Linked DNA regions of Saccharomyces cerevisiae S288C. The gene in region 1 interacts genetically with each later gene. Each region holds a gene or a part of one and is shown on either strand. Other genes may lie near its edges.

The links. Genes that interact genetically often act in the same process or in processes that back each other up.
Region 2: mutations in BEM4 (region 1) and SWF1 together harm fitness more than expected from each alone (negative genetic interaction), as found in Saccharomyces cerevisiae (3 studies listed by BioGRID, with this or other methods).

Annotation. Positions count from the first base shown.
Region 1 is NC_001148.4:243,818-247,963, forward strand, and holds BEM4 (Bem4p), read right to left. Parts: upstream 2,404-4,146; coding exon 502-2,403; downstream 1-501. Other genes in the region: YPL162C (uncharacterized protein), read right to left, coding at 1-210; leucine--tRNA ligase CDC60, read left to right, coding at 3,173-4,146. UniProt on the Saccharomyces cerevisiae protein: Probably acts as a GEF (guanine nucleotide exchange factor) for the Rho family of small GTP-binding proteins (G proteins) that stimulates the dissociation of GDP to enable subsequent binding of GTP.
Region 2 is NC_001136.10:701,607-704,809, forward strand, and holds SWF1 (palmitoyltransferase SWF1), read left to right. Parts: upstream 1-1,627; coding exon 1,628-2,638; downstream 2,639-3,203. Other genes in the region: ECM18 (alpha/beta hydrolase family protein), read right to left, coding at 1-1,152; ARO1 (pentafunctional protein ARO1p), read left to right, coding at 2,878-3,203. UniProt on the Saccharomyces cerevisiae protein: Palmitoyltransferase that targets several endosomal SNAREs. Palmitoylates the SNAREs SNC1, SNC2, SYN8 and TLG1, at cysteine residues close to the cytoplasmic end of their transmembrane domain.

The DNA of each region.
Region 1 (4,146 bases):
GCTGATGCCTAGATTCAAAAAATGGATTCCAAGAGAGCCGATGATTTGTTTTCCAATGTCATAACTCCACACAATCATTTTTCTCCTTGGATGCTCATAGTTTCTTTTCACCAATAACACAATCACGGCTGTCATACCCATCAATGTCTGGACAAAAAGAGACACGGGCCCCAACAACTGGCAAGTGTCTTTCCCATTAGAAACATACATATTCTTTTCGATTAATTGGCAGTTCTGCTGAACTTGTGTGACTGTTGGGCCTCCTGCTAATATGTATTAGAACTTTTTCTGCTTAGTACATTCAAGTACTTTTGTGCAGATGTTCGCATCTGCAATAAACTTTTAATCTCCCTTCCACTCTCATCGTCTACAAACCCATACACCATTTGTCAAGCACATGCTTAATCCAACAATATTCAAGATTTAATATTTATATATATATATATATATATACATGCAGAGGGAACGTTTTCTCCCCTCGTAGGTAAGGCGATTACGTGTCTAAAAGAACGATTTTGCAAGCGCTTCTAAATTTTGTTCCTCTGGCGTTAAGCATTTCGTATTTTTCACAATGTTTAGTATTATGCCCGCTATAAATTTCCCATTGTTGAAACAACTCTCGCTACCCTTATCTTTATTTTCTTTAAATGAAAGTATGGTCTCTAATATCAGGGTTAACTTTTGAATGTAATCCTTGAATAGTATATTTTCAATCGGATTCACGTCAGCTGTTACACTTGAATCTTTTAAATAAATTCCAACCGTTTTTGTGATATGAAATAAATCTGAGATGCTTAGTTGTTCTGCTTGACCTAAATTTTGGAATTTGAAGATCGAATCCCATAGGGATGTAATAGCTTCTTTAGGAAGGGCTTTCTTGGACACAAGCAGCTTATCCATCGCAATACAGGACGTTAACGTTCCATGCTCTGCTATAAAAGAGATAATTGTTGGATCACTGCTTATTGAATTGTGTATTTTTGAACTTGGAAGCACCGTTAAAGTTTTGTTTAATAAATTTGTTAATAACGATCTCAGGTTGTTATAATATTTAGTTTGCTCGTGACATCTTCTCATAATCTGAAATAGGGTGAAGAGGTCCTTGATATCTAGCCACATGGTATTTTCCAGATTTAACAGCTTCCTCAGTAAATCTAGGAATCCTTGATATTGTAGTGGGTCTTGTAGCAAGCTACCAACTTGAATCAATTCACTAAGAGATATGAGCTTCAGTAGCGCGACAGCGTCACTTTTGGATGCAACTGAGTTACATAATATCATCAAAGCTGCGGCTAGGGCATAACTACTTGCGGAACTCTTAATAGTTTCGATACATAATGATTGCTCTCGTTTGTTAGAGTTTGTTAGGTTGGCGGAGATGTTGCCTGCGCACGATATGAGTCTTCTCATTACAATTAGCTTATTATTGAAGGTTTTTGATTCTAAGCAAACTAAGGACAATATTAAATTTTTTTGCATGCTTAGCACAAGCTGCTCCTCATTGGTAAAGTTTATAGTTTCATCCTTGGCTACAATAGTTTCAAGACATGTTGACAGATTTAATAGCAATTCACAATTAACGTCCTCCTCATCATCTTCTTCCTCTTTTTCGATGTACTCTTGATTTCCTTGGCCAGCGAACTTCTGAGTTTCAGTATTTGAATATGCTTCGACTGCTCCATCTTCCATTGCCTGCAATTCTTTATTTTGCACATTTGAAGAGATTTTTTTGATGTACTGGCTTAAGAAAAAGAGATCGCTTATTTGAACATTTGAGTAATTGACTTTTAAAATATCGTTCAATAAATCTGAACCTAAAACAACTTTTTCGGGAGATGACAAATAGCTATATTGTGTGGTTTTCAACAAAACAAATAATGGACCTCTAATGAAGGGAGCCAAATTTTCTGTATACTTGAGATTTCCAATGCAAAAATTCCTTAGTAGCACAACTGACCGCATCTGTAATTTATCCACTAAGCTATCCTCACTCTTGTCAGAAGAAATTTCGTCCAGCTGAAGAACCCCGCCTATATAATAATTAAGAAGCTTTTTACCTCCAGAATCCAAGAGAATTTCCCGATTATCATCATTATCAATTATTGCGTTAGCGATACATCTAATCACTTCAGAACTGATCTCATAAAACGCTATTTTATCATTAATTGAAATGCTCGTATCATGAAAGCAGATATCAAGCGCTTGTTCTAATACTCTTACTAGGTTCAGTAGCAGCCCAGTTTTACCAACAATATCTCTATTACTTGGTTCTCTCAACGAAACAGCCAATTGGTCCATTACCGCTAGGTAGCTTCCTAAGTAGACATCGTTCATCGGAACATCCTTTATTGAAGACGCATTGAGGATCGGTTGCAGACCAAATAAAATTTCTTCGTAATCCATTTAGTAGGACAGTTATTTTCACTTGAAACCACAATCTTTTGGGGCTGAAATATAGATGAGGTGATTTGTTATTCGCGGTTAGTTTTAGTTCGCGAGTGACCTGCTTACGTTGTCTTCAGCCATTTTACGTTGCTTGGCTTGCCGCCGGCGGGTAATATGATCTTATTTTGACATGGTTAAAGAAAAATACTTTTGACTAAGTACCTTTATCACAAGAAAGTTTAGGAAGGGATTCACTATTTGAAGATCAGACAAATGAGTATACGATATTGGCTCAATATTTTAGCCGAGTTTGCTTAAACTTAGTGGCAGAACTTTAGTCATGGGAAGACAAGAACGATCTTACGAGGCCCTTAGGACCTCGGCGGCTAACAGTAAAACTGGTAACTGACGGACAAGGAATATCAAGGTCATATTTTGAAAAGGTCTTTTTGGGTGACTACTTGGGTAAGAAATAATTAGACGAAGTTTCTTTCTGATGTGTATTGAACTAGTGCTCGTGCTTACATACACATCGCCCATTATTGCCTATAGTTATCCTCACTTTATACGAGGTCTGGCCGTTAACGGTTCTTTTACATTGAAAAACTAAATCAGTCACCCACGCAAATAATGAAAAAAAAAAAAAAATCAAAAGCGAAAAGAAACCTAACGCATATTCTATTCAAACGTTGAATGATTGTATTATTATAAATCATAATCACGTAAAGCCACCGAAATTTTTTTCCAGAGTGAAGAATATAAAAAAAATATCTTTAACCAGTCTATAATGTCTTCTGGTTTGGTCTTAGAAAACACGGCACGTAGAGATGCGTTAATCGCCATCGAAAAGAAGTACCAAAAAATATGGGCTGAAGAGCACCAATTTGAAATCGATGCGCCATCAATCGAAGATGAGCCCATTACAATGGACTCTGAAGAGTTACATCGCACGTATCCTAAATTCATGTCGTCTATGGCCTATCCTTATATGAACGGTGTTATGCACGCCGGCCATTGTTTTACTCTCTCCAAAGTCGAATTTTCTATTGGTTTTGAAAGGATGAACGGTAAAAGAGCTTTGTTTCCATTGGGTTTTCACTGTACAGGTATGCCAATCTTAGCATGTGCCGATAAACTAAAGAGGGAAGCCGAACTTTTTGGCAAGAACTTCGACAATGTACCAGCAGAAGAAGAAGAAATTAAAGAAGAAACGCCGGCTGAGAAAGACCACGAGGATGTTACCAAATTCAAAGCTAAAAAATCTAAAGCCGCAGCCAAGAAGGGCCGTGGTAAGTACCAATTCGAAATCATGTTACAGCTTGGTATCCCTAGAGAAGAAATCATTAAGTTCGCCGACGCCAAGTACTGGTTGACCTATTTCCCACCTTTGTGTGAAAGTGATTGTACTTCACTTGGGGCTCGTATCGATTGGAGACGTTCTTTTGTCACCACTGATGCCAATCCTTATTACGATGCCTTTATTAGATGGCAAATGAACAAGTTAAAGGCTGCTGGTAAAATCAAATTCGGTGAACGTTATACTATTTACTCTGAAAAAGATGGTCAAGCTTGTATGGATCACGATAGACAATCCGGTGAAGGTGTTACACCACAAGAATATATTGGTGTGAAAATTGAAGCTTTAGAGTTCGCCGATGATGCCGCAAAAATCATTGATTCAAGCTCAGATCTTGACAAATCCAAAAAATTCTACTTTGTCGCTGCCACGTTGAGACCGGAAACTATGTATGGACAAACATG
Region 2 (3,203 bases), on another chromosome or scaffold:
CTTAACATTTAAATATTGCAGAGAATCCATCAAGGGGTCCTTTGCTAGGATACATCTTGAAAATAACGCTTTGAAAATATCTGTCGTAACCTCCGGTATACCTCCCTTACCGTAAAACAGTTCAAATATGTACTCTTTGTATGCCAACGATGGGACTCGGCTATATGCCGCCATTATGTAATTCCAACATAACTTAGCTCCTAATGGTCCCATCATTCTCAAAATGTGAAATTGTTGTTCAAATAAGTATTTTGGAATCATATTTCTTTTGGAGTAAAACTTGGAATTTGGATTTTTAAAATCGATAGTATAAAGAGTGTTGGAGTGGAAATTATTATTTACAGACCAGATATTCCTTTCCACTCCTAGTGGGGATACCAAGCAAAGTTTGTTTACCGAGTTTGGATATTTAACAGCATATTTAAAAGATAAATATCCGCCAAAAGAATGCCCCACAACATTCATTTTGCCCAATTTGTTATCAATGCGCCATTGCTCGATTCTGTCGAGATAGAAATCTTCGTACATTTGAATCACAAATTTATTGTGATTTGCATTTATTGTATATGGAACCTTAAATTTATTTTCTCCAATAAATTTGATATCTAACGGCAGAGGTGTTGTTGTATTGATCTCTAAAGACGGTACTGAAGACAATCCGCTCGCTGGCATGTCAATTGAGTATAAATTTCGGATGTGCTTGGACAGACCTGGATAATTTCTGAAAAAAGACATTGAAGATGCGGCATAGCCATGTATCAGCAATGTTGGTGTTCGAACAGTACTTGTGTTTTCATTTTGGAAATGCCATTGATTTATTTCGTTGAATAACTTATCATTCTTTTTAATACCTTCAACGTGTACCTCTTCCATAATACGTCTCTGTAATTCCTCCAGCCGCATATAAGTTTTGTGTGGGTTATTCAAATGGCTTGACCATAGCTTGAATCCAGATTTTTTGACAGCATTTTCCTCCTTGGGTCTAAGAATCCTTTCCAAAATTTTTCTCTGGAGACTCTTTTCACGACGTTTAACTTCCAGTAGGCTTCTATTACTGTGGAACGCTCTCTTCCACATGTAACATTTATATACATTCATTATCTGCCTCCTTAAACTTTCAGGGTCCATCAAGTACCTCTTTATTAAAAGCATTTTTCATTCGCTCATCCTTAAACTGGAAAGGCATAAGGAAACTGTCAGAATATATAAATAGAGGTGTAAAACATGTGAAGCTCTGTGGAGTTCTAAGCTGGAATCGAAACAGTTGTCTCAATTTTAGTAATGTCCAAGGGCTTTCCAGGAGGTCAGTATATTCAAAGCCAAAATAATTAATGTTTTGGTCTGAATTTTTATTTTTCAAAAATGAGGTGAAAACCTCCAACGAAACTTTTTAATTAAAACCATCCGATACAGAATTTTAAATCATCTAAAGCATTTATTCGGCATTTTATCCTTGAATAACGTACTATGCAACTCATATAAATACTACAATATACTTTCTCTTTAGGAAATTCGTAGCTATCAACAAAGGTAGTGTCATTGTATATATACTTCCGCCTTCCTAAAAAAAACTTCATTATGCCTCCAAAGAAGATATCTTTGTCTCCTAACATGAAAAGAACAAACAATGTCATGGAATCTACTATTTGTGCTGCTAATAGGATTCGTAGTTTTGATATTACTTTCGCCCGTCTTCAAGTCAACATGGCCATTTTCGACTTTCTATCGTAATGTGTTTCAGCCCTTCCTAGTGGATGACCAAAAATATCGTTGGAAGTTGCATTTAGTACCTCTTTTCTACACCTCTATTTACCTGTACCTAGTATATACATACCACATGAGAGTGGAGTCTACGATTAAGAATGAGCTATTCCTTTTAGAACGAATACTGATCGTGCCTATAATTATACTACCGCCGGTAGCATTAGGAATTCTAGCCATGGTAAGCAGAGCTGAGGATTCAAAGGATCATAAATCAGGCTCGACAGAGGAATATCCATATGATTACCTATTGTATTATCCTGCCATAAAGTGTTCGACATGCCGGATCGTCAAGCCTGCTAGATCCAAACATTGTAGCATTTGCAACCGATGCGTTCTCGTCGCCGACCATCATTGCATCTGGATAAATAACTGCATCGGAAAGGGAAACTACCTTCAATTCTACCTTTTCCTAATTTCCAACATATTCTCGATGTGCTACGCCTTTCTAAGGCTGTGGTACATTTCTTTAAATAGCACAAGTACGCTCCCTAGAGCTGTTCTGACTCTTACCATATTATGTGGATGCTTCACTATCATCTGCGCTATTTTCACGTATCTTCAATTGGCCATTGTAAAGGAGGGAATGACTACAAATGAGCAAGATAAATGGTATACCATTCAAGAGTATATGAGAGAAGGAAAACTGGTGAGATCATTGGATGATGATTGCCCATCTTGGTTTTTCAAATGCACAGAACAAAAAGATGACGCTGCTGAACCACTCCAAGATCAACATGTTACGTTTTATAGCACGAATGCCTACGACCATAAGCACTACAACCTTACACACTACATCACGATTAAAGACGCGTCCGAAATTCCCAATATATATGACAAAGGTACCTTCCTGGCCAATCTCACAGATTTAATATAGTAAATTGTCATGCATATGACTCATCCCGAACATGAAATTTTTTTTCACTCGGTTTTTTCTCACCGCCATAGATTCTAACCGCAAATGTCGAACAAATTCATTATACAAGCGGTTTATTAATATAGAAGGTAGGACGCCGACTCGTAACCATTAGTAACAGATCACAGCTATACTCGGTCGTTCAAGTTTATATAATCTCCTAGTTGAGAAATCCCTACGTAAGATAATTGTATATTACGATGGTGCAGTTAGCCAAAGTCCCAATTCTAGGAAATGATATTATCCACGTTGGGTATAACATTCATGACCATTTGGTTGAAACCATAATTAAACATTGTCCTTCTTCGACATACGTTATTTGCAATGATACGAACTTGAGTAAAGTTCCATACTACCAGCAATTAGTCCTGGAATTCAAGGCTTCTTTGCCAGAAGGCTCTCGTTTACTTACTTATGTTGTTAAACCAGGTGAGACAAGTAAAAGTAGAGAAACCAAAGCGCAGCTAGAAGATTATCTTTTAGTGGAAGGATGTACTCGTGATACGGTTATGGTAGCGATCGGTGG